Diceros bicornis minor: one gene and its partners. The protein of the gene in region 4 purifies or fractionates together with the protein of the main gene of each other region. This does not show direct contact. Links are inferred from orthologs where the notes say so. Each region holds a gene or a part of one and is shown on either strand. Other genes may lie near its edges.

Region 1 (7,504 bases), on a different chromosome or scaffold from region 4:
ACAAAAAAAAAAAACCCAAACCACATTAGGCCCAGCCCCGTGGTGTAGTGGTTAAGTTCATGTGCTCCGCTTCGGCAGCCTGGGGTTCACAGGTTTGGATCCCAGGCACAGACCTACGCACCACTCATCAAGCCATGCTGTGGCGGCATCCCACATACAAAACAGAGGAAGATGGGACAGATGTTAGTTCAGGGCTAATCTTCCTCAGCAAAAAGAGGAGGATTGGCAATGGATGTTAGCTCAGAGCCAGTCTTCCTCACACACACACACACACACACACACACAAACATTAAAAACCAGAGTTGTGGAATCAGAAAGTAGATCGGAATGATTCCTATCTACCCAGTTTCCAAATTTATAAAATAGAGTTTTGAGATGTTACACATAAAGCATTTAAAACAGTATACGCCATATAGTAAGCGCTCAATAAATAATTATATTAACAACGTAGTACACTGGAAAAAATCAAAGAGTCAGGACTTTTCACTTCTAGTACCATCTCCACCAATGACTGGTTCCTTGTGCAATCTTAATGAAGTCCTTTCCCCTCTCTGGGCCTTTCCCCATGTGAAAAATTAAGGAAGTAGAACCAGACGGTTCCCAAGCTCCTTCTACATTCAACAATATATATTTTTCTGTGATCAACAAAGAGCCTTCTGTTTCATATGCTGAAGCTGTTGGCAGGGAAAAATGTGAACTTGTAGCTGCTGGTTCCCCAGATAGTAGGGGCCAGGGCCAAGGCCAACAGCAGGACAACTGATCAGTAAACCATCTGTGTGCTTTCCCCTGCGTGAACTATATCACACTAAGTGCAGGTCCCTGAACAGAGCACCACTTCCCTTCCAACTAAACTCACAGCAAAGGCAAGACAAGAGCTTGAAAACAATAGCAACAATGAAGAATCCTGCCTTGTGCAGAACTCCTGTACTGTCTTGCATTTGATGCCTGTAATTAGGGCATCATTAATCTAAACTAGGGCTCTCCTTAGGCACACAGAGAAGGAAAAACACAAAGGCCCACTCTGAACCTGAAAGCTCATAAAACAAAGACCAAAGCAAATAAATAAAAAATGTCACTGACTCATTCAGCCACAAACACTGCAGTGCCCTACTATGTGCCAGGTAGAGGAGGGATGAAACAGACCTGGTCCCTTGCCACCAATGTACTCAGAGTATATACGGGGTGACATACCCCAAGGCAAATTGTGATCAGAGCTATATTCGAAGAGCAGCCTCTGCTAGAGAAGATGGGAGGGTGGCAACTAATCCAGCAGGGGGATCAGAGAAGCTTCACTGATGAGGTCACGGGCCTTGAAAGATGAGAAGGAGGAGGGAACTCTAGGAAGAGCGAACACAAGCAAAGGAACACATGCAAGGAGTGTGAGGAACGAAAACTAGTTTATTTTGACTGGGGTGCAGGGTGCAGGTTTGAAAGAACAAATGGAAACACGGCAGACGACAGGTTTGGGAACAGATTATGGAGGAACTTGTCTATGAGACTGAGGAGTCCAAACTCTATATAGCAGACGACAAAGCCCGCCAAGGTTTCTGAGCAGAGATATAACATGATGAGAACATTGTCTCAGGAAGATCACATAGGTACCATAAAGAGGATGCAAAAGGAACCAAGTTACTAGATTACTATGGGAACACATTACAGGGGACCACAAGTGCTTCCTAAGCATGTGCTGGAATCCAACTGCTCCTGTTGACAGAGCTTCTCTCTCCCAGGGCTCAGCTTCATGCAACCGGAGTTTAAGAGGTGCTCACTTGCCAGGCCCTCTAACCATCAAAATCTGCTAGGGAACAGGCCTCCCAGACAAAGTCAAGAACCCAATTAACTCTCTGGATCACAGAAAGAGAAGCCCGAAGGTAGAGAAGCTGGGGGGTGGGATGGGGATCAAAGTCTCCAGCTGGCCCACCCCATATAAAAAACCCAACCCTGGGTCTCCTCTTTACATCACTTCCAGCCTAGCCCTCTTGAGAGGGCTGAAGTGAAGGGTAGTGGGGCTGAAAGCACCTGGCTGCTGGCCAAGGATCCAGTGAGACAATGTACACCGACTGCCCAGCACAGTGCTTGGCACACGGACAATGGTCAATATGCATTAGCTCCCTTCCCATCCTGCAAGGTCAGTTCCACCTATAAATCCCACTGAGGCTTCAAGAGCTACCTCACCTCAACTGTTCCCCCAGGGCCTCTCTACAGTACCCCAGTCCAAAATCACCTAGTTCCTAGGAATCACAGCTGCCATGTATTCAGCACCCATTTTGTGACAGGTGCCATACCAGGTGACACATGTAAATCCTATTCAAACTTCACAAGGACCCTACTATGCCATTTTACAGGAGAAACCAAAGCTGAGAGAGGAAATGACTTACCCGAGGACACACAGCTAGGAAGTGGCAGAGGGGGGATCCGAACCCAGGCCTGCCTGTCCCAAAGCCAAGCACTTTCAGCACCTCACTCCTGTCACCCGCCTGACCTCGGATCTGCTACTGGCCATCTGACAGGTGGCCTGGAAACTCCCACAGAGAGAGACTGCACCTGACACTAGGACTTCTCTCCACTCTACGGCCACCCGCGCATGTCAGGAGCTTCTAAAGGAAAACAGTTAACTTTAAAATAACGTAGTACACAGAATAAATTCCTCACATGAAATACTATTCATGATGTTGGACTTCCTGAGCCCTGAGCCCAGCCACACAACCCGGTAGGGACTGTCTCAAACCGGCCACAGGCTGAGCTGCGACCTCGGACACCTGTCACAACCCACGCCCGACCCCCCAGGCACCGGCTGAGCCGGGACGGGGGACACACGCTGCGCCCTGAGCTCGTCAGAGACGGAGCCCTGAGGACAGCCCTAAAAAAGTGTCTCCTTCGGCGGTCCTCTCGCAGCAGAATCGGGTCGTGACCGCGGGCCGGTCTGAAGGCCGACACCGCCCCGTCCCGGGCACACCGACTCCTTCAGACCCCCGCCCCATTGTGCTCGGAGGGATACCTTGCCGTTCTGCCTTCACTTCAGCTGACTCGCCACGTCCCGGTTGGCGCGCACCCCCACCTGCAGATCGCTCCGCCGAGAACGCGGAAGAGGCGGTACTAGACCCAGGGGGCGGGCCCGGCTGGAGAGGGGCGTGAGGGGGCGGAGCTGCGCCTGCGCCTTGACGGCTACTCAGGGAGAGGGTGGGGCGGGCTAAGTAAATTGCGCAGGCGTGATAGAAAGGGGCGGGGAGATTGCTGGGGTAGGGGGTGGGCCTTAGCTCCGTTCGACGCTGCCTTTTCCGAGTGAAATCGTGGAAGCCAGGGAAGCGTCCCGGGGAGGAGGTCTGGCAGCGGCAGGTGTAATTAACATTTACCGAGAGCTTCTGCATGCCAGGAAGGCATTTTTAAATGCCTTTTACTTATGGGGAAATGCTGCCAGTCTTTTCTAATAAAAGAGCTAATTCTGTAAAAACTCTTAATATAAAATTACATGCCTATAATTTCACCATGAGAGTTTCTCCTTGAGTAAAGCATTACCCCCAGTAGTTTAAAATAAAAAACTTAAAAGTTCATTTCTTGGAGAAAACCAACTGCAAATAAGGTAGTATTTCAACCATGCCCCGTCCCTCCCCCAGGCTGCAAGTGTGATGAGAGAACGAGAGCGCTGACTTAGGTTTAATTCAGATCCTGACTCGAGTGTTTCCTCCGCTGTGAAATGGAAGTCAGCATCCCTTCCCTGCTTGTCTCAGGATTGTTGTGAGGGTCTGGTGAGCAATGCTAGTTAAAGAGCCTCCTGGACTTCCTTCCCATCATCCACCTGACAACCGTTTGTTGCCTTTCCCCCTCTGGGCTCAGTTTTCTCATCCTTTTGATGGAAGGAGGTCGGGAACATTCAGGGCTTTGCTAGATTGCTCAGTCTGGGTGAAGACTGAAGAGGGAGACCTTCTTCCAGGCTTCCAGAATCCCTCAGTCTGACCTGAAGGCCCGTGTATACCCTGACCTCTCTCACCATCATCTTCCAGGCTCACCCAAGCTTCATGTCCTCGGAGGCCATGCTGGTCTGTTCCCCTCTCTGTTCCCTGAATGTCTCAATAGCTAGCTGGCCCTGAGTCACTCAGGCCTGTGTTCCAATCCAGGTTCTCAAAATTTTTATGTCCCCCACATGGCAACCAAGTTCAGTTAACGCCAGAGATGAGGGCTCAGGCAGGGATCCCCCAAATCAGGCAGAGCTCCACATAGCTCACAGAAGTAGGGATGGGAGTGGCAGCAGGAAACCTCAAAGAAGCTGCAGTGTTCTTGAGGGCCAAGGGGGGTGGCAGCCTTGACTCAACAGGTGGATGCTCTGCCCCAAGGTGGGAGAATGGTTTGCTTCCTTGTTCCCTGCTCCAAATATTTTTATGGATCCTGAGCCAATGAGAAAACAAAGCCTTCCGCAGCCTGGCTGCCCCCACTGTCCCTCTATTCCCAATACACTGCTTCTCCTAGCACCCTCTCCTGCCAAGTTTTGCCCTACAAGGGGCTCTTTTCTCTGTGTTGCTGAGAACCCCAGCTCTCCCTGCTGTCTCCTCCTTTCTCTCTACATCTCTCTGGTCTTCTCCAAGCATCCCTCTCTGAATTTTTCCAAGCAGTTTTGTGATGGCTTCCTAATGTACTCAGAAATTCCCTTGTAAGGTGCAGGGCTTGGCCACACGGTTCTGAGATAAATCTATCCTCACTGCCATGGTGTATTTCAAAACAACTATGGGCCCAGAGCTGGAACTCTCTAAGAGTCTGAGCTGTCCAGTAATTGAAGAGGTAATAAGTGACCTGTCATAGGAGGTGTGCAAGCAGAGCCACCTTTTAGAATGCTGGACCCGGCCTCCTCTGGTGAGCCAGAAGAAGGGGCAGCAGAGTGGAGGGCCTTAGAGATCCTAGAGCAGTGAAGGGAGGGATACTGGGAGCCAGGCAACTAGCCCAAGACAAACTTGATTCAACAAGCTATTATATGTCAAGCATTTAGCACTGTACCTGACACATAGTGAGTATGAGCAATTATTGTTATCATTGTGAATGATCCACAGACTGTGAGTAATGAAGTTTACAGATCAATCAGTTCCTCACTCCCACACCTGGTCAAGAAATAGATGAGGAAATTGAGGTCTAGAGGGGAAAGGGCCGGCCCTAGTACCTCAGGGGCTGGGCGGGGACTGAAACCCTGGCCTCTGCCTCCCAGGAGGGCACGAAGCCAGGCTGTCTCCCCAGGTAGAGGAGAGAGCTCTAGGTGGGCCTTTGCTGAGTCTTAAGAACCAAGCTGGGCCAGCCCCGTGGCTTAGCTGTTGAGGGTGCGTGCTCCGCTACTGGCTGCCCAGGTTCGGATCCCGGGCACGCACCGACGCACTGCTTGTCCGGCCATGCTGAGGCGGTGTCCCACATACAGCAACTAGAAGGATGTGCAACTATGACATACAACTATCTATTGGGGCTTTGGGGAGGAAAAGGGGGGAAAAAAAAAAAGAACCAAGCTGTTTTTCAACTCTTGTCTGGGCACTTGATGGTAACCAGCAGTGGAATGACAGCAAGTGTCTCCCGGGAATAAGCTCAGGAGTCAGCCCCGTGTCCTGCCACCCCCACTTTGAGCTCTGGCCAGCACCCAACAAATAGCCTTTTCTTGAGAAGGGCTTCCTCTGCTGTGATTAGGATTAAGACTATTTCTGCTGTCGCTTAACCCATTAGCTCCAATAAACCACCCAGATTAAGGGGGTTGGGGAGGAATAGCCAGTGCCAGGTGACCTGAGCTGAAACAAGGAGACTCTCCCAAGAGACTGAGTTCCCTGAAGGCAAGGGCCAGCCCTCCCTACTCTGAGGGTCCTAGCCTAGCCCAGGAGTTCTGGGTCCAGAATTCCCAGAGGCCTGGGAAAACCTTGGTGTCTCCACCCAGGAGAGCTAGGCCAGACCAGACCACACTAGCCAGCCCTCCACATGGCCGAGGATCTCAGGACAAAAAGCCCTCCCTGCCCCATTTGGCCCAGTTCCTTCCACAGCCTGCCCAGGAGCCATGTGGCACTCAGACCACAGCTTCCCACCAGTGCCGCTTTAGTTTGCCTCCTTTATTTTACCAAAAATAACAATAATAAAGTCTTCCCTCTATTTCACAAAAATAGATTTCGCCCCTACCCCCGTCTGCAATCAGCAATGGCCACAGCCTAGAATTCATCTCCCAGTGCAGTCCTCCCTGGGGGAATCTCTGACCCACGCCCTCACTCGAGAGTCTCTGGCAAAGCTGCTGGGCCAGTGTGTTTCCAGGGAAACTTCTCCAGAGGCAGCAGTCCCAGGTGCAGCTGGCTGGCCCCAGGAGCCCCATCTGCTTCCCCAGAGATCAGGCAGCTGCTGGGCCACGGAGACAGGCATGATTTTGGAGGTTTGGCTCAGCTGACAACCTCAGCAGACCCGAGGGGTAGTAGGGCACTCTGGCATCAGACTAGACATCCTTGCTCAAAGCAGGAACAGCTGTGTCCTGGAGACAGCCTGTCAAACCCTCTTTCCACGTGCATCTCATCTTCCTATGTAGCAATCCACAGGCCCTGGGTGGGAGTCAGGACCCCTGGTTTCTACTCCAGCTCCACAAAAACTTTGCTGTGAGGCCTTGTACAGCTTCTCCCTCCTTTCCTTCTGGCTTCAGTTTCCTCCTGTGTACGTGGATGATTCTGTGAGTGAGACTGGATGATCCTCAGGTCCTTTCTGGCTCTCTATCTGGCCTCCCAGTGTGGAGGCTCTGGGAGGGGAGAGCCCTGTCTCTGCCTCAGTTTCCCCACCTGTGGGTCTGGGCACAGGGCTGGGCAGGGGCCTGCTGAGTAATGGAGTGCTGAATGAACACCCCAGTTTCTCTGTGGACAGCTATGCTCTGAGATCCACCCAGCTGGAATATCTCAAGAATGGTTGGGAAGGAGGCAGGATCTTGCAGAATGAGAACTCTCCAAGCCTGGAAGAGTCCACTCACTAGCTACATGGTCCTCGATGTCCCACGATGGGAGACAAGTCTCCAGATTTCCCAGTTCAAGTTCCACTAGCTCCTTGGGTTGGAGGATTATCTTGTGCTGGGCTTCAGATCCTGGGAGCCAAGTCTATAGATTCTAGGAGCTAGACTGGAGCATGATTCCCAATTTAAGGACCAGGAGACCTTTGTAAACATGACAGATCACTCCCAATCCCCAGGAGGCTGTCTATAATCAAGCCTTCCTACAGGCAGAGGGATGAGTGAAAGGATAGCTGATGAGCATTTCCGGCTGAGCAAATCAGAACCTGTGACTGTGGTGGGCCAGGGGTTTAGGTACCCAGGGCAAGGCTCCCCTTCCTACCTCCCTGCAGCTCCCCAGAACTCATGCTTACGGAAGACAGCAGCCTGGAAGGTTCAAACATAGAGCTACATCTACAGCCACATTTTGTGTACTTACACACATGGTCAGACACACTGAGTGGGGACACTGACCTGTCATCACTCCTACAGTGGTCACGGTCTGATGGTCCCAATCCCTGCTCACTTTCTTCT
Region 2 (8,087 bases), on a different chromosome or scaffold from region 4:
CCCTGACTGTGGAAGATGGAATGCAATGCACTAGAATATAGGGGCTGGCTTTAGACGAGAGCACGGACTGAAGAGTATCAGGAGGGAGGCAGGATGTGTGAGGACAGATGCTGGTGGGTGGGTAGAAGGCAGAATGCCAAAGTTCTCTTCTAATTGCTCCACTGTTTGCAGTGCTACAGAAAATGAGGACATCGGCCAAGAGGAGAGGATTGGACACAGGGAAAGTATGAAATAGTCCTCTGGGAGAACGGACACATGGCCTAGAGAAGGTCATAGGATAGCTGAACAGTATCATGGTGCTTGTTGAGGCTTATGGCCGTGAATTTAAGGTGAGGCTTGCCAATACGGCTGTGCATTTTTCTCCAGTCATAGTAGGCTGCAGGCAAGGAACATGTGGAGGGTTGGATTGGCCAGGGTTGGGGCTTTGCCAGGGGTTTGGGTAGAATAAAGGAGAGCCAAGCATGAAAAGAACTAAATGATGGCATCCAAGTTGGGTACGGAGCAGATAGAGGACATGCGGAATGAGGGGTAGTGGAAAGGAAGTAGGACTGATGAATGGACTACAGGTCCCAGTCAGGCAGCAGGGCCGTTGGAGTTGGGATACAACAGAGTTAACCATCGGAGATCGTGGCCAGAAAGTGAGATGCTTGAAATCAAGACGTGAAACTGAGATAGCTGGTATGACAAGGTCTAGGGTGGGAATCGGCAAACTATGGCCTGTGGGCCAAATTCAACCTGCTGCCTGTGTTTATACAGCCTTGAGCTAAGAATGGTCCTTACATTTTCAAATGTAATATGCAAAAAAGAGAAAGACTGTTATTCTTTAAGCAAGAACAGTTGCTTCAAGAATTGAAGACACTGTTTTCAGGCCTGCAAAGCCTAAAATATTTACTCTATGGCCCTTTTCAGGGGTTTGCTGACCCCTGGTCTGGCTTGTAGAGTATCACCATGTGTGTGAGTGAGTGGCTGAGGTAAGGTAGAGGACACAAGCTCAAGGCCAGGTGGCCAGGATATTGGCAGGATCATCTACATGGGTATAGAAACCACTGATAATTATGACAGTAGTGTTGGAGAAAGTGACAGGGAACCAGAACCAAGAGTCAACGAATGAGGGGGTGTGACCTGGGATCTGTAGATGCCAGAGAGGACTGTAACACAGAGGAACTGCTGGTGGTCTAGTCTGACGGCATGAGGTTCAAAGGTCAGAGTTTAAGGGAGGAGAGAGAGAAAGAGAATGCTCTGGAAGTAGCTACTAGTGGGAGGAGCTAGTTGGTCTTTGATCTACCTCCAGGCGCTGGTGGTTTGAGGGAGGAATATGCCACCCCTTGCAGGGTGGCTGGGCAGCAGAGTGCTCAGGGATGGCCAGAGCAAAGAGCACAAGCAAAGGAGCAGTTAAGTCAGCCCCAGCTGGTGGGAAAGGCTGTGCAGAGGAAGACTTTGAGCTGAGGCTTGAAGTCTTAGCAGGAGTAAGTCAGGACACAGCGGGTGGGATGGGGAGGAGGAAGGGGAAACATAGGTGTAGGAAAGCATGATATCTTTGAACGGAGACCTCAGAAAATCACAAATGAACTTCAGTACAGCTGGAGGTTCAGAACCAGCGCTATTAGGAGCTTTGGGTGAAGAACATTATTGTTTCTTTAATATCTGCATGCTGGAGCTTAGGTATATTGAGAACAATGTGTAGATGAGGAGATGCTCTATGAATGAAAGAAGACACACATTGGACTTTCAAACTTGTTACTTCCCCACAGGTATAGTAGGAAACTGTTGCATATAAATGTTTATATGGAGATTCATTCTTTTATCTCTCCAGCATTTTTTGAGAGCATCCTTTCTGCCTGATGATCTGCCAGGCATCGGAGATACAGTGGTGAACAACACAAATATGGTCCTTCCCTTATTTGAGCTTATAGTCTACAAGTAATTACATTGAAGCATGATCAGTGCTAAGACAGGATGTTACTGGTGCTCACTGCCTTGGCATCTAAACTAATCTGGGGGCCAAGGAAGAATCCTGGAGGAAGTGACATTTAATCTGAAGGAGAAATAGGTGCTTGTTTTGAAGAGCAAAGAATGGGTGGTGGTGAAGAATGTTCCAAGTGAAGTGATGGCATGCATGGGGTTGGAAGTGGGAGAGAGGGCTGATTAACACACTGAAAGACAGTGAGTGTGGCAAAAGATGGGGCTGGAGAGATGATGGGGGCCTGGACTGAAGTGGTGTCTCCGTCTTCACGGAGCTTCTGGTAAATGTTCAAAATCTTTCCTCTCTCTAGACTGCAAAGTCTGAGAAGGCAGGAACCAAGTCTGTCCTGTTCACTGCTGTTTACCCACTTATTGGGTGCTTACTTCCTGTGCCTGAAAATGGTTTGTTGAATGAATGCATGACTGTGAACCTTAGTTTACCTCTCTGAAATTTACATTCATCAATATAAATACCTTCATTACAATTCTTGTAAACAAAACAATGAACGTGAAAGCATTCTGTAAACTGTAAAACATGATACTTGTTTTAAAGCAGTAAGACACTATGTTGCAAATATGTATAATGTAGTACCTCTGTTGTGCCCCTAATAACTGTTTTTTTGAGAATCTTATTTACTCCACTCAAGTCGGGAAAAAACCCCAAAACATTGTATTGGAGAAATTATCCAGTCCTGTGTAGTACAAAAGTAGCTTGATTAGGGAAAAAGCCTTCATCAGCCTGATCATTTCCTTTCACCACTTCCTAAAGTGGCTTCTAGCCTATTCAGGTTGCTTGTTTTCCACTAAGTGAGCATTAATCAACAGCAAGTAATTATGCTTTTCTCCAGGCCCAGAATAGATCCTATCTTGTCCCTCACCGTGTACTCATCTATCTTCATCAGTGAATCATCAGCTCCTTGAAAGCAGGCATCTTGCATCTTTTCAGCCCCCGCATCTAACATTATGGCTGTTAGCTGGTACTGAATACTTGTTGGTCGAGTTTAATAGGTGAATTTATCCTGAAAATTGACATTATACCTTTACTCATTCACAAATAAATATATTTAATGCACTTAAATGATCACTAGCTATTATATTACCAAATGCTTCATATACTTTAAATAACTTGAAAGAGAAAAGGATGAAGATGTAGAGATATTAGATTTCATTTTACCTCCCAATTTTCTAGCGTTTGTATTGTTTTAGGTCTACCAAATAATGAGCAATAATCAATGAGGTCATTTTACCTTTTTTTTTGAGATATCATAATGCAAAGGTAAGAATGTTGGAAAGTTTTTTCTGATACTTAGGCCAGGTTTCCTTTTATTTTATTCTGTTACATCTCCCTATGGCCTACTAAATAGTTTTCTATCTAAGCATTTAAAAGCTGTAATTGCTCTTATGTTTAGCTTTTTAATTTTGACTTAATTATTATATACACAGGCTAGTCTCTTGATCCTGCCCCATAAAACAGTTTCTACAGCTTCTTAGTACTTGTTGCTCAACCATGTCTGGCTCTTATTTTGGGGGGAGTAAGCTCAGACATTTAGAGTGGTCTAAGCATTTTGGAGGAAGAACTGTCTGAAATTAATTTTAAAATGACCTTTTTTTAGAATTTGTGATTTATTTTTTGTCTATGTCTGCATTTCCCCAATTTTTTTTCTTTATAGTGATAAATTTAGTTAAATAGAAAAATCTCTTTGCTGAGGTAGAAGGAATGAGGGGGAAATGTTTTTTGTAGGTATGTACTGTGGTTTCTTCGCTCATGAATGTAGTACTGGCATTAATTCGCCTATCCCATCCATTATAACAAAATGTGTAATAAATTTGCAACAATTTATTCCACTGCTCCTTTCTGAATTTTTCTTCTGAACTCATCTTAATTTCATACCAAGGGCTTGAGTAATTAGATTCGGTTTAAATGGCTTTCAAGTTCTAGGTATAATAGTTACTGTTTGAACATTAAAATTGTTAATCAATAACAAAAGACGGTGCCAAAGGGCCTGTTATAAATCGATTTTGTTTTCACTGACATTCATTTTTCTTTTGTTTGCTTGTGATGTGGGCTGAATGTAAAGATGACAACACACCTATGTATTTTCAAACATCATGCAGGTCTGTTCTGCCGCAGGGCTTGTGCCCTCTGCCAGATTGCTCTGTCCCGTGTGTCCCCATCCCTCAGGTCTCAGCTCAAAACTCGCCTTCTCTGAGGGCCCCCATGCCCCAGGCAATCTCTGTGTCATCAGCTTTTTTATTTTACCTAGAAAGGAAATAAGCTTATTTGTTTAGTTATTTAGGACTCTCCTCTCCATGGTAGGCCGTCCTGTGACAGGTCACCACTATTTCCCAGTGGGAAGCAGCTCTGGCTTAGTGATACCTGCTCAATGCCTTTCCGTTAAACGGACAAATTCGGCATTTTGACTCAGCCAAGACAGGCCATTCCCTAGGCGGATGGGATCTGATTGTAACTTTGCATGACTCCGCACAAATCACGTGAAAAATGAATCCGTGCAGACCCCTGCCTTCTCGCCGGACAGAAACTCGGACCCAAATCTCACCCTTTCCACCACGATTCTCGCTCGAGGAGCGAGGGGCTCGAGAAACACCCGCCTAAGGGTCCCCTCCAAGTCCCGAAGAGAAACGACAGCGCGCGGAGGACGCCGGCCGTCGCCACGTCAGCCGGGTCGCGTGACGCCAGCGCGCCTGCGCACGGGGGAGGGGCAGCGCGAGCGCAGACGCCCGCCCCTACATCCGGGGCCTAGACGGCGGCGGCGCCGCGGCGCGGGGGTCACGTGGCTTCTTCCTTTCCGTCTCTGGCCGGCTGGGCGCGGGCGACTGCTGGCGAGGCGCGTGGGAGCTCGCGCTGGTTCCCCTTGGTCTCGTCTCCCGGCTCGGGCCACTGAGGAGTTCGCTGACGCCGGGTGAGCCGAGCCTGCCGCCAAGATGCCGGCCTATTTCCAGAGGCCGGAAAATGCCCTCAAACGCGCCAACGGTGAGTAGGAGATGGGGCGCGTCGGCTGGGACGGCCCGAGGCCTCGCAGGTCGTGGGGTCCGGGCCTGCTTCCCGCTGCTCCGCCGCCCGGCTGCGGCCGGGGAGGAGGCAGTGCGGCCCGCCCGCCCCCGTCCCGGTCCCCGGCCGTGGTTGGGCATGGTCCCCCTTCTGCTGCAGCCGACCGGGGCGAGAGGCGCGGAACCGGGAGCCGTCGTCCTCCGGGCCCTTCTTTCCCCGCGCTCCTGCTGCGTGTCGGGGGCTGCGGCCCCGGGGACAGAGCTGCCGGGACCCGGGCTCCTCTCCCGCTGTCCGCCTCCGCCTGGCTCTCTCCAGGCCACGGGGCTTTCGTGTGCTTGGGCCCCGCGCCCCCGGCCGCCATCTGGGAGTGCCGAGGAGGAGGAAACATGGCTCCCTCCCGGGGACAATGCACGCGAGAACCTCGGCTCCACCTCCCGCCGGGGCCGGAGCCGAGCGGTCCCACCCCCGGCCCTCCCGCAGACTCCTCCGCCCCCCAAAATCCAGCGCCGGGCTTGGCTGGGTCAGGGTCCACCTCCCCTTCCCCCAACCCCTGTATCGCCGCTTCGGGGACTCTGACCCATTTAACCTGTTTCCTGTTTTTCCTGGCATTGATTATTGGCAGCCCAAAAGTCTGTTCCGAATCACAGGAAGTTGGAACAGAGTTAATACTATGAGAGAGAGACTTCAAGTTCTCTCTTAAAGATAACGAAACTGAGGCTTAAAGAGAGAATGGCTTGCCCAAGGTCACTCCGCGAGTTAGTTGTTGAGCCAGGACGCTAAAACCAAGGTCTCTTGGCTTCCAGATCAGTCGTTTTTTCGCCACAGCGATGCTGCCTGCGGTTTTTGTTTCCATATGTGTACTAAGTCATGGGCGCTTTCCAGCAAACTTGTGCGTTTATTACGTTGGTATTATGGGGGTGCAGATGTATTATACATGTCTCTGATCTTTAAAAACTTTCTTGTTTAGGGTTTTTTTTTTTTTTTTTGAGCCTAACATTTTGTAAGTGGTGGGGCGTCCATAGCTCTTATCTCCACTCTTTCTCCACTCAAGGAAGTTAGGGGTCTTTTCCATGCTGTAGATGGAGATGCCGTGTCTGTTACAGTTTTATGTTTGTGGAGCCTGTTTTGTTAGCTTGTTTGAAAATTGCTGTTGTGGAAAGGTCAATTTCAGTCGTTACATAAAATTGATCCTGCTGATAATCTGTCAGGGCCAAAGATGTGTTTGTCACGTGGTGGTTCTTTTAACTAAAAGTAACAATTTTGGGCGGGATAACAGTCTGAAATAGTATGGTTCCACATTCTGTGGAATAGAGTGGTTGTTTTAAAAAACAAAAGTACAACTTAGATCTGATCACTACTCATTCTAACGAGTGGTCTAATGGTTAGAACAGGCAAGAAGTTTAAGGACGTTAATTTATAGGGAAGAGAATAGATTGAAATGGAAATTTATCACTACAAAATAAACTGTAGCAGAGTGAGGAAAAATTTCCTTTTTGATATTTCGAAATTCAGAATTGTGTTATGGTATATTAAATGGCTCAGATGAAATTACTGCTCTAATCGCTAGAGTCATTTGGATGCTTTACCAACGGGCGTTTTTCCCCATGTGAATAGGCTGAAGCACTGTAATCTGGAGGGCCTGAATAGTACACATTTGATGTGTTCAGGCCTTGTTTCATCATTCCTCACTTCTGAATCTTCATGTGAACTTAGTATTTCAATAACTCTAAACTTTTGTGTAGTTTTAAAAAAGGCTGTATTGATTCCCCGTTGCAGCCCTTTTGAGCTGTAGGGTGGGTGTTTCTGTGGAAGAGATGAGATGCCTTACCTTTCAAGAAGTAATTTCTGTGCCTTTGATCTTGTGAATGAGAGATCCCTTCTCAGAGTGTCAAAGTGAGTGGAATGTGGATGGCCCGTGGCACTGCTTACGAAACTTTTAATAGAATGATGAAAGTACATTTCATTCAATGGAAGTAATCTTATTTTATCTAAATGTTTTATCTATAATTTTTGTAACGTCAAACACATTTAGACCTAATCCATTACCTTATCTTAATAAAATGTGAATAATGTAAGTGTAATAGTCCTTCAGGTCACCCTGAGTTTGTATATCAGAGCAGTATTTTTGGAAACAGTGATTATTCAGGAAGATGAGAATTTGGTCCAGTAGTTACAGGCAAGAAATTCATACCCCAGAATCATTTGGAAAAAGCTCTTTTTCCAGATTAGATTGTTAGTAGTGCCAAATTAGTTGTTCCTGACCCTGTAACATCCTTTTAATTAGCACTCTATAACCAATGACTTAAAAAATAGTTATTAAACCCACAAATTGTGTAACATTATAGCTTATCTACTTGGTCTGTTGCAAATAAACTAGTAAAAATAAAGGGCTGATCTAAACTTTTTCTTTATAGATAGATACATAGTTTCGGTCATTGTGTCTGAAAGGTAAGCTCAGAATGCTCACCATTTTAGTAATAGTTTATAATTCCAGATTTTAATTTTTTTCAAGAATATCTATCTGGAAATGAACATTTAAACATTGCAGTAGAGCCTTTTGTGACCTTTCTTTCTAGCCTCAAAAACTGTTTTTTCCCAGTTAGATAATTCAGAGGAACTAAATCCTCCTTGTATGTAGAATAGGGTAAAAACAGAAGCGCACCATGGTAGGTTATCATGATAAATTTGTTCTCATTCCAGTTTTTTCTTTTACAAACATCCTTGCCTGGTATCCATGTTTTCTTTTTTTGTTGGTGATGGTAGGGGTGTCTGCTATGAAAAATTATTTTTTAATGCATTTATTATTTTTAATGCATTTTCAAGCCTTGGCTTGTTTGAACTTACTGCTTCAGAGTTTGAGAGTATGGGATTTTGAATCATAAGTTTTGATTGTTTGATCTGTTTTGGAAGTGAAAAATAGTTTTAGTTCTATCCGTAAACATGACTTTTGATTTTTTAGAATGACGTAAGAAACCACAATCTCCCATTTAAAAATAAGAGATTGGGAAAGTGAATTAATTTTAGACAGTTCAGTATTTTGTCATCACGCCATGCTGGGGCCAGCTCTCAACTTGAACTCTCTTTGTGCCTCTTTCATGTTACAAGCAGATTGACA
Region 3 (7,651 bases), on a different chromosome or scaffold from region 4:
CATCTGAGAAAAGCTATAACGTACACAAATTCGGCTTTATCATTTTTTAAAACCTTAATCTCAAAGAACACAGTTAGATTGTGGTGTTCCTGGCAACCATTTTACTGTGATTCAAAGACAGAAAGTATTTAAAATTTGAATTACTAGTAGAGTATTAACAGTAAGGCTTGAGGAATATGGGATCTGATTACATTTTTCCTAATTAACTGTTTTTTAATCAGAAAAAACTAAACTTCAATCTTTATTCTACAGAATTCTAAAATGCATAAATATATTTTATTGCCTTAGGAAATACAATAAATAATTTAGCTTTCACTATTTCCTAGCTCATATCCTCAGATTCCTTAAAATCATAACTGTTAACATCAATGAGCACAAGAGATAGAGATGACGCTGAACTGAATTTACCCATTTTCTAAAATGAAATGTAATATAAGCTTTATTTTCTTTGATTTCCTTCTTTTTCCTAAAGTGAAGGAGAAGAAAACAAGTAACAAATCTTTCCTACATCTGTATAGTGTAAATACTGCTTTCAGTATGTTCTCATTTAACCCTACCTCCACAACCCTAAAAAAAAATTTAGAATTGAAGCAGTCAAGGTGAAGAGGGAAGGACTTGCCAAGGTCACATGTAAGTGGCCCACTCAGACCCCAACCCTGGCCTTTGACTCCTATGCTAAGAAGTCAGCTTCTCCTACCCCATTTTATCAAATAACAGAACTCCCTACATAAATATTTAATACATGTGCCAACAGACAACTGTGTATCTCTATCAGGGGTTCTAAAATTAAGGGATCTAGGGCCGGCCCCGTGGCTTAGCGGTTAAGTGCGCGTGCTCCGATGCTGGCGGCCCGGGTTCGGATCCCGGGCGCTCACCGATGCACCGCTTCTCCGGCCATGCTGAGGCCGTGTCCCACATACAGCAACTAGAAGGATGTGCAGCTATGACATACAACTATCTACTGGGGCTTTGGGGGAAAAATAAATAAATAAAATCTTAAAATTAAGGGATCTAAAAGTTAACTAAGATTTAACTTGATGTACTTACTTCTCCCCCCTTTTTTCCTTTTCAAAGCAATTTAAACAGTTTTCATATTTAAAACATAAAGCTGAAAAATGTTCCAAATAAGTTTTTACTAAACTAAAACAGAAACCATTAATCACATAAGGAGTGGACATACAAGAAGACCTCAATGAATGGAGAAATACACCACAATCATGTTTAGAAAACCTATCATAAAGATGTTAATTCTCCTACAAATTATCTATAATTTTAATGCAATTTCAACTGAAATTTCAATAGGATTTTTCATGAAACTTGACATACTGATCATAAATTCCTAAGAAAGAGTTAAGGATGAAGGAGAGCCAAAATACTTGTAAGTATAAGAAGAGGGTGTGTGTCCTACCATCAGACTGATTATAAAGCTGAAGCAATTAAAACATGGGGTATTGATACAGAGATAAAGCAAAAGGCCCACACAACAGGGGACCCACAACCAACTGAGCATATATGGAGATGTGCGACCTGACGCGGGGGCACTACAAATAAGGGCTGAGTTCTCAGTGCCACTCACACTGCCATGGGGGAGAGGAAGTTAGATCCCTACCTGACACACACAAATCAGTACCTCAATTTCAGTTATATTACATACTAAAGTGAAAACAAAAACCTTAAAACTTTTAGAAGAAAACAAATGTCTTTATTACCTCAGGGAAGAGAAGAATTTCTTAAAGATATTTTATTAAAAACCAAAAATCCACAAACCATGAGGAAAAAAAAAATCAATGTATTTGACATTATAAAGATAAAAATGCACTGCCCTTACCCACCAAAAAAAAGAAAAAAAGCATCACATATGAAGTTTAAAAGCCCTCATGCCAGGAAGAGATACCCATAATATGCAAAACCGAAGATTATTACTCCTATAAATCAATAAGAAAAAAGATATGCCATTTGATAAAAAATACGGACAAGGGATACAGACGGGATAATTCATAGAAGCAGAAGTCTATACTGCCAATGGACATATGAAAATAATGAAATAGTGCTCAACTCTTTGTAATCTGGGAATGTAAATTAAAACAATGAGAATCCATTTATTACCCATCAGGTTAACAAAAATTTTATATATGCCTATACTGAGAATTACCAAGAATTAAAAAAAAAAAAATAAGATCAAGAAAACTCTTGTGCACTGTTGATGGGAACGGAGACTGTTAAAACCACTTAAAAAGAACATCAGCTGTCTCTAGTAAAACTAGAGACAGAAATTGCAGAACCCAGCAATTCCATCCCTAGGAATATATTCTGGAGAAACACAGAGGAGCATGAGGAGACATGACAAAATATGTTTATCGCAACATTTTTGTAATAGTGGAAGAACTAAAGACCTAAATGGTCTTCAACAGAAAAAAAGGTAAATAAATCATGGTATGTTCCACCAATGGTATTTAGCAATTAAAATCAAAGAACAAGAACAAAATGTATCTGCATAAATAAATCTAAAGAATACGTTAGCTTAAAATAAAAAACTACAAAATGATGAATATAATATGAAACCATTTATGTGACATTTTAAACCACATAAAACAATACAACGTACTATCTGTTGCTACACAACACAGGTATATGTAATAAAAGGCAAAAACCATAGCCAGGAAAAAAAACTTACCAATTTTAGCCGAGTTGTTATTTCTGGGGAAGAAGGGAATGAGACAGGAGAGGGGTACAATGGAGGCTTCAACTGTATCTGTAATGTTTTGCCATTTATAAATATAGCAAAATGTTAATATTAGTCAAATCTGGTTGGTGGGTTCAGGCATTTCTCATATTAGTCTCTGCACTTTTCTGTACACTTGAATTCTTTATCAAAAAGCATAAATTAATAAAAAGTAAAACAACCATTAATTTTATCTACACATATACTCAACAAAACAAAGTTTTGTCTTACCTCAACTGAACAGCGAGGAGTCACAAAGAACTGATTGAATTCATCAGGGCTAAAATCTCCAAAAATATACTGAAAAAAAGAGAATCACTGATCACATAAAATGCACAAATTATATACTTTTGGAAAAAATGCTATATATTATAATAATCCTATGAAATATTTGGGCCAGAATCCCCAAGACCCTTTCTCGGTTAAACAAAACAAGGGTCTGCAAACTGAGATTTCTAGGTGTAGTATTTTCCAATTACAAACATGAAAATACTACTTAGCCTTCTCCATAAATTGTCAAAGAAAACTCAAGTTGATAAAGCTTATTTTGAAATAGGTCGATTTTGTACACCAAACTTACAAGCAGAGTCCTGCTTGCAGGAGAATTTTTTTGGTTCACAAACATTTCCAGTTGTTCCATTTACCTTTCTGCTGACTCATGTCATTACCTCCTTTTCAGTTTTCTCTGCCATACATACTAAAGAAAAGCAGAAAATGTGGTTCAAATGGGGAGATAGGGAAATCCAAAAGAGCAAAATGTTAATGATCCTGATGAATGATCTTTAAAAATATATGTGATTTTTATCTTAAAAGTGTACTGGAACATGACGCACAGATAAACATTATTCAATAGACACAAGCACAGTTGTGAATCCTCATTTCAGAGAATTCTAAATGTGACTTGATGGAAAAACAACTGGCTAAACTACATGGAAGCAAGTTTGGCAACTGCCTAACAGTTCTTCAAGAAATAAGTCCTAGACAAGGAATCAGTATGCCTAGATTTCTACAACAGAAAATCACTCGCTAGTTACTCATTCACTTACTCCATAACATTTAGAGCCTACTAAGTGCCACGCACGATCATTGGCACCGGGGATAAAAATGGTACAGCAGAGTTGTGATTCCTCCACTCTAATGGAGCCGATAGTCCAGTAACTTGGAGGGAAATCTACAAGCATGTGATTCACATATAACCAATAGCTTATTATTATACAAATGGATAATACCCACTATTACCATAAATGTGAATAAATGGCAACTAACTCTCGTACCCTATCGGTAAGAAGGCACTGATATTTCTGGGGAAAATATTTCTGGAAGGCTCTTTGGCAATAGCTACCAAGACTGTAAATACAGATTTAAAACCAAAATATCTTCATAAAATATTTACATATACTTCCAAAAGTCCACAAAGAAACTGTGCACTGATAGTAATGGTGAAAATAAGGAGAGTCCCAAAACAATCTAGAAATGGTCTTCTGAAACACTTTCACTGTGAGCTCAGTGAGCTTAAACTGTCTTATCATCTCCAACCTGGGGGTAAAGCTTATATTAAAGTCACTTAGGCACAACACCAAGCACTGGAAGGGAAAGGTATCTTTTAAGTGAAAAGGAAGCAGAAGAGAGGTCAGGGTGAGGTGTGTGTGAAGAAATGACACTGCTGACTAGTATTCTTTACAGTTCCACGGCAGATAAAGATCTTTAAGTCTAGATGTAAACCTTAAAACTTAGGAGAAAATTAAAAAGACAAGCCACAGACTAGGAGAATATATGTCTGACAACACAAGTGCCAGCAAGGACGTGAAGCAACTGGAACTCCCTACGTGGCTGATACAGATGCAGAATGCTACAGGCACTCTGGAAAAGAGTCTGGCAGGTTCTTATAAAGTTACTTACCATACAACCCAGCAATGCCACTCCTAGGTACTTATCCAAGAGAACTGAAGACCTATGTCCACAAAAAAACCCCGTATGCTGATGTTTACAGCAGCTCTATTCATAACCGCCAAAAGCTGGAAACAACCCAAATGTCCATCAAGTGGTGGATGTGGTAGTCTACACAACGAAATACTACTCAATGACTCTAAAAGAGCATCATGCTAAGTGAAAGAAGTCAGACTCAAAAGGCTACAAATGTTGTTTAATTGCATTTATATAACATTCAAGGACAAAATTATAGGCACAGAAAACAGATCAGTGGTTGTCAAGGTCTGGAGAAGGTCTGATTAAAGAGGCACAAAAGAACTTTTGCGGGTGATGAAAATTTTCACAAGAGAATCCTGCTGGAGAAACAGCAACCACCTTAACTGCCGAGGAAACACACCCACTAAAATATGATTTCAGCCCTCATATATGAATGGACAACAAACAATCACAAGACATGTGAGGGGTAAATTAGGGGGAATTAAAATTACGGGAAAATGATTGAGTAAACAGAACACAGAAACAGAAAAGAACTTAAAAAAAATTCTGATTTGTATCCTTAAAGCAATTCTAGCAGGTAAAATAAACAGAATGCCAAGAAAAAGGACCTACTAGAGAACAAGGAAGTGTCCACAGAAATCAGAAGATTATTAAATTTAAATTACTAAATTTACAAACTCAACAGAAGGTCTTAACAGCAGAATCAACAAGACTAGAAAACAATGGAGCAGTATTTTGAAAGTTCCAAGAAAAAAGTATTTTGTTCCTAGAATTCTAAAGTATTTTGTTTTCATAGAATTCTATTCTATTGTGAAGATTATTACTCAAGTGCAAAAGAAAAACAACATTCTGACACCCCTACACTCTTTTGTTGGAGTGGGGTGGGGAGGTGCCTGCTTAAGAATTCCAGAAAAGGAACTCAAGAGACACAAGAGTGGTAAACAGAGAAGGAGACCCAGGACACTGCTGACACTGTAGCTGTGAGGTCTAAAGAAAACATGAAGAGTCACTACACTGGAATCACGCTGTTTTATTTAATACCAACAGCAGAAACGTTGCAGTAAAAGATCCATTTTATCTTCTCTTACGAATGGTAAGGAAGGACTCTACTTTAATTCAGAACGTGGGGAAGACATAAGGATGAAAACTGGAATGTTCTACAGGATTGTTAAGCTATTTTCTTTAGGTAGCTTTTCTTCTTGGAAAAATAAAAATGAAATGCTCATTTAACACACACTTCTAAGCACATTCTCTTACTTGAGTACACATACAGTCTAAACTCTTTTAAAGAGAGAGATCTGGTTAACCCAGTAAGAGAACTAAAATTCCAAATGATTTAATAAAATCTGGTCAATAAGAGGGAGAGGGAGGAGGAAACGTGACTCCAAGCTACTCGCACACAAGCCTTCCCGCCTGCATGCAGGCCCCGGGGCCCAGCGCTAGTCCAGTCCCTGCGCTAGTCGGCTGGGCTGGGAGCCAACCCACAGCCAACCACTGGAATGCTTAGAAAGGTTCCAGAAAAGACTTCTTCTATTATTTTCAATTTTACTATTTTTATTTATTTCCAAAGTATTATTTAAAAACGTTGCTATAGATTGTAAATGTGCTTTTCTTACAACTTCATGTCAATAATTTCTCCACAGATATGCACCTTCAATCTGCTTACAAGAGTCACTCACTGGGGGAAAATGAGGAAGAGCTTGACGTACAGATCCGGAGAAACGTCCAAGGTACTGTTAAATGAAGAAAACATTCTTGCTGTAAAAAAGGGAGGAAAATAGAAATATCTACTTGTGTTTGCATAAAGAGATATTGGAAAAGGAACCCAGGAGAGGATGCAGCCGTCTACCTACTCAGAGCCATGGGGACCCCAAGTGGGGGGAGTGGAGCGGGAGGGAGATTTGTTAGTTTGTATCTTCTCAGAGTTTTTAGTTCTGAACCATATTAATACCTTATCTATTCCAAAAATTAACTGTAAAAAGTCAATGTAAACAACAGAAATCATTGTACAACTATTCAAATATACCCATTTTGCAGAGATGTTATAAGTTTGCACCTGTGTTAGTTTCAAGATCTCACTGACAACAGATTAGATCTTGATGAAAACATTTAATCCAAGAAAGACACCATAAGCAACTGCTATCAACTATGCAATGCCAAAATATCATTTAACACTTGACAGTGGCTAGCCAGAGCTGTTTTGAACTCCAAGTAATTTCCTTAACACTGGCTCACATATATTAATAGACAACCCTGACAAAATACACGAGTCACATCCTCTTGCCATAATCAGATCTATTTTCAATCCTCAAATGCATAAATTTTTGAAAGTGAGCAGTTACACTTCACCCAATATAAAAAACAGCTATTTCAACTTTGTCACAGAGTTAAAAGAGGGGATCGCTAAGAAGCTGGTACCAAGGATTACGAGCGTCTCTGCAAGGGGTTCACCACCAGGAGGTCTGGTTAGGATTTCCATTTCCTGTAGAATGAGTATTCCCCATACACTCACGGCAGATAAGCTACATGTAGCTTCTTCCTATGTGTCCGCACACATATTACTTATTCTCAAACAGGAATCAAATGTAATGCAGTAACTGCAGACAAAGGGAGGCTTGATATCCGGGGAGCTCATTCTCAAAGGTCAGAAAAGGCCAAGTCCCTGAGGTCTCAGGCTAGGGGAGGCTCATGAATAAAAGGGAATTTCCTACCACCAGAGTGCGTGTAAAAAAAGGAAAAACATTTCTTTCTAGGCCTCTTTGGTAACCGTCCAAACATTCATTCAGAATGATTTCATAAAATGTCCCATATAAACTTGAGGCAATGACATCATTCAGTGCTTAACAAAACCATGTGCCTCATTCAAAATGATTACAGGAAGTATACTATGAAGAAGCATTTATTATCCACACTGTTTCATAAAGGCAAATACAAGGATGGCTTATAAAATAAAATTTAGCTTAAATAAATTTATTGGGAGAAAACAGGTAATTTTTTGATATC
Region 4 (7,821 bases):
CTCATTCTCAACTGACTCCCTCCCCTGCTTACCGTAGGTCCCAAACTCTGTAGGGCTTGCACCCGGATAGAAGCCTGGGGCTCCTGGCTGCACAGGATACTGCTGTGTCGGGACAACATATGTGGAACGCCCCTGGTGGAGAGGGAAGGGAGAGGAGGAGGGGAGACAAGGAGTTGAGGGAGCTATAAGCACCATATCAGACTACAAAAAGAATGTAGGGCAAGACAAGACAAGCCAACTCTGGGCAATGACCAGAAGCAAGTCCCACCTCTGGAGAAGAGATGGGATTGGAAGGTCAGGGTGAGGGAGGCGAGGGTTGGGGTACAAGGCTCTGTGGCTTCCAGCCCCCAAGCCTCCAGCCTCACCTGTCCGGGGATGTAGTAGGCCCCCTGGGAGGCTGGGTAGGAGATCTGGGAAGGGATCATCATTACTTGGGATCCAGCAGGGTAGACATGGGCAGCTGGGCCAGGGCGGGCGGGGGCTGCACTCTGCACTCGGGAGGCTGCACTGCTCGGGGGCTGGGCCCGGCTAGGGTAGAAGTGCTGTCAGGAGGGAGGAAGGCAGTTGGCATTGGGAAGGGGAGGAAGTGGACAGCAAAATGGCCATTCCACAATGTCTCTAGACTGGAGAGAAGTACTAGGGGCTTTGGAGCATGGAGACCAATACTTCCAAGACCCACTTGACCAACTGATGATTAACTGGCCTCTTGTACTCACACATGCCCTCCAAACTCAGGTATACACTTTGCACTCTGCATATATTTACTCCCTCACTGCCATGCATACTCATGTCACCTCCACCAGGCGACCCCTATGCAGAGGCTGCCTGATACCCAGATGCATCATGCCTAAGTAAAGTCCTTTCGGGCAACATACTCCTCAGCATGCACTGCTCCACCTAAGGCACTGAGGAACTAACCACTAACATGCAAGTCTCCCAGGTCCCAGATGCACGCTCTGCGAGATATAGCCCCTAACATGCATCAGTCAGGCTCAGACTGAGGACTTGAATGACAAACAAGTCCCCACCCTGAAGAGCCCCAGTCCTTGCATCTAGCCCCTGACTAGGGTGGAGGGTAAGGGTGAGACCAAGAGAAGGTCCAGGATTAGCAAAGGGGTATTACCTGCAGAGACCTGAATCCTCCCTGAGAGCACGTGGGGACAGGAAAGAAGAGAATTATCCCCAAGGTGATGAGGGGGAACAATGAAGGAAGTAGGACAAGAATCCTCCCACTTAGCGAGGAAGAATTTAGGGTATAGATAAAGGCAAGAACCAGCTGGAATGTTTATCCCATCATAGCCCCAAGAGAAAGAAGGGAAGGGGAACAGAGCAATGGCAACCTCCCAGTAAAAGGAGGAAATAGGAAAGCAGGAGTTGGCAGCAGGGTCCAAAGCACTGCCCCCAATTCTCAAGTCACCAGGACCCCTAGTAACGCCACCCCCACCAACTACATACTCCCCAAGGGGCCAGATACTGTAAGTAATCAACAGCGCAAAGTGCAGAGCTGCACAAAAGAACACAGAGCAACTGTCAGGAAACTGGGGCAGGTACAGGGCCTCCAGAGTTTCCATCCTAGACCCAAACTGGCCCAAGCTTTCCAAGGCCCCACCCAGGCCCCCTACTCCCCTCCCCACGGCCCCTCACCTGGCGGGGCTGAGAAGGCGTGTTCATTTGTGTCGCTTGTGGCGTACTGAACACCACCGGTGCTGTCTGCCCCGGGGGAAACGCTGGCTGAAGGAGGGAGACCAGAGTTCAGCAAGAGGGGAAACCCGGGTGGGGCAGAAACCCAAGCTGGTGAAGTAAGGGGAGCAGATCTGTGACAAGAGTCTCAGCAGTCCACATACCCCCTCCCCATGACAGCCCCTGGGAACAGCCCAGGGGCTCTGTCTCAATTTGGCAGCAGGAAGCTGCACTTTGCCCTGACACAGATGGGGGTGGGAAATCCAGAGGCTAGAACCTGTTTCTGACCCAGCTGCCTGGTCCCCCCACCCCCACCCCAGTCTCTGCTAATTCGTCCCTAATTACCTGTGGGAGTCCAGGGGATGGGGCGGGTGGGGGGCCTGTGGGCTGTGGAGCTTTGTTCATTTCATTTGGTGCCACATCAGGGTCCCCCCAGCACCTGTTGGGAAAGAGTGGAGCTCGGAAAGGAGAAGGGACCCAAGCTTAAGGCAAATGGACTGGGGGAGGGGTTGAAGCAAGGGCTGAGTCCCATACCGACCCCCGGAGGCGCCAAGAGGGTGAAGGAGCAGCAAGGATCCAGCTTATGTCCCCATCAACACGTTGTCAAACCCGCATCACCTCCAACCACCTCCCTGACCTGATGAAAGAGCCACCTCACTCACCCCCTCGGTTAACAGTAAGTCCACGGTGCGGCCTACAGGTTCTGGGCATCCGAGGGCCTGGGGTTGGGAGTTGAGGGGTATCAACCTGGCTCCGCGGGGCCCAAGACCAACCAGACCGGAAATTCCAGGTCTCGCTGGCACCAGGCTCCCGGATCACAAACGGAGCTAGTAGCTTCGGCCGTGGTGTCCCCACCCCCCACCCGGGGACACCGGGTTCGGGGCCTGGCCCAGGGGCACACAAGGCACGCCTGCCGCGGGGGCACTCGCGCGGGGCCAGAGGCGAGGCCTGCCGCCACCCAGGCGTGGAGGCCAGGAAGGGCGGGAGTCGGGCCGTAAAAGGCCAGGCGGGCGGCGGCCGAAGAGAAGCCGGTTTCAAACAAGTGAGGGTCGGCCCGGAGGCCGGGCGGGGCCGGGGGCTCCTCCCTGCCCGCCGCCGCTGCCTCCCTCCCCTGCGCCCTCCCTGCGCAGCGCCGGCCAGTGCCAAAGAACAACGTGTCACTTCCCGGCGGCCGGGCCGCAAAGGGGGGATGGGGCGGCGGGCCGGGAGCCGCGGTGCTGCGCCCGCGGGGCCTCCTCGGGTCGAGCCGAGGTGGCACCTCGCGACAGGCGAACTCGGCGCCCTCCCTGCCCGCGGGGACCGCATATTCCGGCCCGGCGCTCCCCCGCCCCCACCCAGCAGCCAGGCCGGGCACACGTGGGCCGGAGATCGGGCCCTGGAGGGCCGGGGCCCGGGCTTGGGCCGCGGAGCCAGGGTGCCAGGGCGGCGGCGCAGGGTGGCCGGTCCCGGCCTGGATGGCGGCGGATGCGGGGGGAGGGGGTGGGGGGGCCGGGTCGGGCCCGGACATGGCGGCTTTACCTTCAGTCTCCTTCAGTCCGCGCGGCCGAGCCCCACGCAGCCGCACAGACGTAGTCCACAACCATTTCCGGCTCCCCGCACAGATCCCGCTCGGCGGCCACCGCTTCTCCGCAGGCGCAGCCGGCGCCCCCACGTGACCGGCGCAGAGGGCGGAGCCGCGCCTGGCGCCGCGGAGCACATGGGATTTGCCCCGCCTCGTCATGTGACTGCCACTGCCCGCCCCCGTGTCCCCTCCCGAACTTTGGAACTCCCAGACCGACCCCCTTCTGCGTCTGTGTTCCGTGGTTCTTTAGTTCATTCATACTTTGAGCAAGCATTTATGGAGTGCATACTAAGCGCTAGGTGAAGTGCTCGCTGGGAGCTGAGAATACTGAAATTAAAGACTCAGTCCTGCCTAAGTAAATCATGCAATAAGTACGGAAAGAAATACGAATTATGCAGCCTTTGAAAATAATGTAGGTTAGCTCATGAAAAGACCAATTAAACTGAATGTTACTCTAGAAGTATTGAAACATTCTAACTAGGGAATTAGTATTGTTAGATTTGTCTTTTACAAAGATCAGCCGCTCCCAGAGAGGGACAAACTCAAGCATAGAAAGTTCAGAATAATGGTAGAAGAAGTAATCCCAAAACCCCTGCCCGTTAGCCAAAAAATTTTGGACACCAGAAGGGACCGTACTAGAGCCAAATCCACGTATTTACTCAGTCAGATAGCCTGAGTTTTAATCCAAACTCTGCTGCTTACTCCCTGGCCACATACCTACCTACCTACCTAATACCTGTTGTAAAATGGGAAGATTTGAACTCAAGTCTGAGCTTTTAACCACTGTGCTTTTTCTCACAATGATAATACCCATTGTATCGGATTGAGAGGATTAAAGGAGTTAATTCATGTGAAAGTGCTTAAAACAGTGCCTGGATACCCTCTCCTCTCTCTACCTCTGTCCTCTGTCTTCTCCCCTCTCCCTTCTCCTCTCTCTGTGTATATACACATAAAATCTCAGAAGAAAAGGTTTTCTCAGCACCAATCGATGAACTGGTCACTTAATATATATGACGTATGTCATATATAGTCCTCACAATTTCCTACAAAATAGATTGTATTATTATTCCCATTGTATATGAGAAACTAAAGCTCCAAAGAAAGGAAAGCAAAATAGACACATCGAGAAGGAACCATAGTGAGAATGAAAATGCAAATCTAGAGTGTTCTCTGTGACACTCTTCATTTGAGTTCTGTGACTTTACTGTGTATGGCTGCCTTCTGTACTCTTCTCATTTCTCTTTCTGCATAAGCAAACTAATAAATAAAAATCAGTTACTGCCTACATGCCAATCCCTTCCTAGATCAGAAACCACTCTCTCAAACTCCAGTAAGAAAAAGGTGCTACATAAAATACATAATCACCTAATCACCCCAGAGGCATCTCAAATTGTGTATGCCCAGATAGGAATTTGTCATCTCTCTCTACATAGAGTCCTACACCTTGACCCCAAACCTGGTGTTGCTCATGTATTCTTTTTCAATGAATAGCATCCAACCAGAAAATCTGGGATCCATCCTACATTCCTTCTCATCCACATACTACATCTAATCAGACACCAGGTCCTATTGGTGTTTGGATCAAAATCAAGTCCTGTGGATTTTATCTTTAAAAAATTATTCTTCTGTGCTTCCCCATCCCCCCATTTCTACTGCCCTGGTTCAGGCCTTCATTTCCTTTGCCTGGTCTCCGCACCTCAATGGTGAGCTTTCTCACCCAGGTAGCTGATCATGCTCTCATTCAGTGGTTCCCATTGAGTGATACTGTCAATTTCTTAGCACAACAAAGCTCTTCTAAACCTATCTGAGCCTCTGTCTCTAACTGTATCTCCTACCACACTTTTCCCTGGCCCTATACCCTTTGTCAAACCAAGCTATCCCTGTTTTTTTTTTTTTTTTTATAATTTTATTTATTTATTTTTTTCCCCCCAAAGCCCCAGTAGATAGTTGTACGTCATAGCTGCACATCCTTCTAGTTGCTGTATGTGAGACTCGGCCTCAGCATGGCCGGAGAAGCGGCGCGTCAGTGCACGCCCAGGATCCGAACCCGGGTCGCCAGCAGCGGAGCGCACGCACTTAACCGCTAAGCCACGGGGCCGGCCCATATCCCTGGTTTTTTAAAATGAATAGCTTTTCTGCCCTCCTGCTTTTGCTGCTCCCTTAGTTTTATCCTACTCTCTTTTCTTCTGGAAAAACTCATCTTCCTCCAAGTCTGTTTCCTCAAAATCTCCCCTGACCTACCCAGGCACTTAAGCCTTATTTCAGTGATCCCAGGGTACCTTGTTCACAGCCCAATACAGTATCTATCATGATATATCACAATTATTTTCCATTACATAAGCTTTGTAATTTATTTATTTATTTTTCCCCCCAAAGCCCCAGTAGACAGTTGTATGTCATAGCTGCACATCCTTCTAGTTGCTGTATGTGGGACGCAGCCTCAGCATGGCCGGAGAAGCGGTGCATTGGTGCACGCCCATGATCTGAACCCGGGCTGCCAGCAGAGGAGCGTGCGCACTTAACCGCTAAGCCACAGGGCCAGCCCTACATAAGCTTTGATAGGATTTTTTTTTTCTATCTTTGCATCCCCACAAGCTAGAATAATGCCCAATGCAGAATAAGGCTCCATTGATATTTGTTGCAGAATGCATGACCAAATGTGAAAGGTTGAGAGCCACTATGAAAATTTCTTACTCTAAAGCACAATCACTGATTTAGGAGAGAATTATCTTTTTATTTATGTTGTTTTGCAGTTTACAAATCACTTTCTAATTTACCTTATTTTAACATCACCACTATTGGAAATCAGGAAAGGCAATTACTCTATCCAAGTAATACAGATGATAACAGAGGCTCATCAGACATGCTGATTTGCTCAGACTACAGCAGGTCCCATTAAAGGGACTTGACTCCCAAGTCCAGTGCTTCAACCTTTTACAGATTTTATACAGGCTGCCAAGTGAGTGCAGAGAGGAGACAACGGAGACACTCAATCCAAAATTTCCACTTCTCCACCTAGCCAATACCTTGGACTACAATAGGGTCCGCAAGTCTCCAAGGCTACAGAGACAGATTAATGTGGTCAATGAGGGTGTGGGCTTTGGAGTCAGATGGACTTAGACTCCAATCCTGGCCCCACCATTTACTATGTGACTAAGTTACCAAACCTCACCCAAACTACATTCCTCCCCAAAACACAGGGATAATACCTACCTCTCAAAGTTATTGTGAGGTCTCAAAAGCGTGTAGGACAATTATTCTTCCAACATTTATAGAAGACCTATTAAGTGCCAGTTACTGTTCAGAGGGTAAACCCCAGTGTTGGGTAAATGCTAGTGATTATCTGGCAGGGCCACGTGTTCTCCACTGCATCCGCGGGGTCCATGCCCCACCTGGCAGGGTTGCTATACTCATACCAGCCCCACCAGGAAGAAGCACTGCAGATCAAGGGTGATTATATTCCAGGAAGGAGCCCACTTCTCTTTCCCATTGCTACACTGAGAGGAAGGTCAGGGTCAAGCTTTCTTGCACCCAGTTTCTGCAAGGACAGTCCAGAAATAGATGTTAATATGATCAAATCTCTCAAATAGCAACCTCCCAAGGAGGAAAAGAGGGTCACAGGAGGTAAAGACGTCCCTTTCAATCAGCGGCCCAGGAGTCGAGTTAGAAAGAGTGGAGCTAACTCTGCTGCCTCTTAGAGCAGGTATCCTTAGTCCAAAGTCAGGAAATGATGGGCTTGAGGTGGGCGTGCATTGGTGGGTGGGAGTAGGGGATGTATGGGATCCACCTTGGAAAGTTATTTGTACGAATTTGTATGAAAATTTGTGTGTATGCATCTCCTAGAAAGAAGATCCATTACATTTATCAGCTTCTTAAGGGTTCATGCCCCTAAACATGAACCACTTTTTAAAGATGATTAGGAAGGAGGAGAGAAGGGAAAGAGTCTTAGTTCTTTCCATTCAGGGCAGTCTCTCTCCTAGCCTCAGCTCAAAACTGCTACAAACAATGCTGTCTCACATCTACTCCCCACCCGAGTCTGACCTCCAGCCCATGGTACCCCAGAAAAGAGACACAGAGGGACCTCGGGGATAAAGGTCTTTATTCAACAAAGTTATCTCACTTGGTAACAAAAGAACAGGAGGTAACAATTCCCTCACAAGTCTGGAGCAGTGTCCACCCCTGGCAGCAGGAAGCACGGCCCACTGACAACAGCTGCAGCTCAAAGGCCCTGGTGGCCACTTAGAGGTCATAGTTGGGGTTCTTCCGAAGGATAACAAAACCTTCCAAAATGGGGGTGACAGGAAGAAACTCCTCAGTGGCCAATTCTGCCCGTTCCCCGTGGGCCAACAACACTGGCGTTGTGTGTGTCTGGAACCCTGTGATGGTCTTAGGCTTGCCGGCCTGGCCCACCACATCCACTGCCTGTAGGATAAGAAAATTGAGATGAAGGGACTCCAAATGGGAGTGTCGCAGCAACCCAGTGCTCACACCAGTTTCAGAAAAGCAGGCATATGTGCACTCTCCAAGTTTTAAAGTACAGTCATGCATCACTTAATGATGGGGATATGTTCTGAGAAATG

The links.
Region 1: the proteins of EIF4G1 (region 4) and MKNK1 purify together in Homo sapiens (affinity purification with western blotting; 3 studies listed by BioGRID and IntAct, with this or other methods). This does not show direct contact. The link is inferred for Diceros bicornis minor from reciprocal best matches to the Homo sapiens genes EIF4G1 and MKNK1.
Region 2: the proteins of EIF4G1 (region 4) and EIF3A purify together in Homo sapiens (affinity purification with western blotting; 4 studies listed by BioGRID, with this or other methods). This does not show direct contact. The link is inferred for Diceros bicornis minor from reciprocal best matches to the Homo sapiens genes EIF4G1 and EIF3A.
Region 3: the proteins of EIF4G1 (region 4) and USP10 purify together in Homo sapiens (affinity purification with mass spectrometry; 4 studies listed by BioGRID, with this or other methods). This does not show direct contact. The link is inferred for Diceros bicornis minor from reciprocal best matches to the Homo sapiens genes EIF4G1 and USP10.

Annotation. Positions count from the first base shown.
Region 1 is NC_080752.1:9,453,094-9,460,597, forward strand, and holds the start of MKNK1 (MAP kinase-interacting serine/threonine-protein kinase 1), read right to left. Parts: upstream 3,097-7,504; 5' UTR 2,999-3,096; intron 2,598-2,998; exon of another isoform or gene 2,379-2,597; intron 1-2,378. UniProt on the Homo sapiens protein: May play a role in the response to environmental stress and cytokines. Appears to regulate translation by phosphorylating EIF4E, thus increasing the affinity of this protein for the 7-methylguanosine-containing mRNA cap.
Region 2 is NC_080745.1:81,934,704-81,942,790, reverse strand, and holds the start of EIF3A (eukaryotic translation initiation factor 3 subunit A), read left to right. Parts: upstream 1-4,784; 5' UTR 4,785-4,905; coding exon 4,906-4,954; intron 4,955-8,087. UniProt on the Homo sapiens protein: RNA-binding component of the eukaryotic translation initiation factor 3 (eIF-3) complex, which is required for several steps in the initiation of protein synthesis.
Region 3 is NC_080771.1:33,698,431-33,706,081, reverse strand, and holds the start of USP10 (ubiquitin carboxyl-terminal hydrolase 10), read right to left. Parts: upstream 3,359-7,651; 5' UTR 3,348-3,358; coding exon 3,303-3,347; intron 3,023-3,302; coding exon 2,954-3,022; intron 1-2,953. UniProt on the Homo sapiens protein: Hydrolase that can remove conjugated ubiquitin from target proteins such as p53/TP53, RPS2/us5, RPS3/us3, RPS10/eS10, BECN1, SNX3 and CFTR.
Region 4 is NC_080754.1:39,380,803-39,388,623, forward strand, and holds the start of EIF4G1 (eukaryotic translation initiation factor 4 gamma 1), read right to left. Parts: upstream 3,308-7,821; 5' UTR 3,199-3,307; intron 2,400-3,198; 5' UTR 2,343-2,399; intron 2,120-2,342; 5' UTR 2,086-2,119; coding exon 2,026-2,085; intron 1,792-2,025; exon of another isoform or gene 1,732-1,791; coding exon 1,645-1,731; intron 543-1,644; coding exon 366-542; intron 133-365; coding exon 33-132; intron 1-32. Other genes in the region: PSMD2 (26S proteasome non-ATPase regulatory subunit 2), read right to left, coding at 7,481-7,663.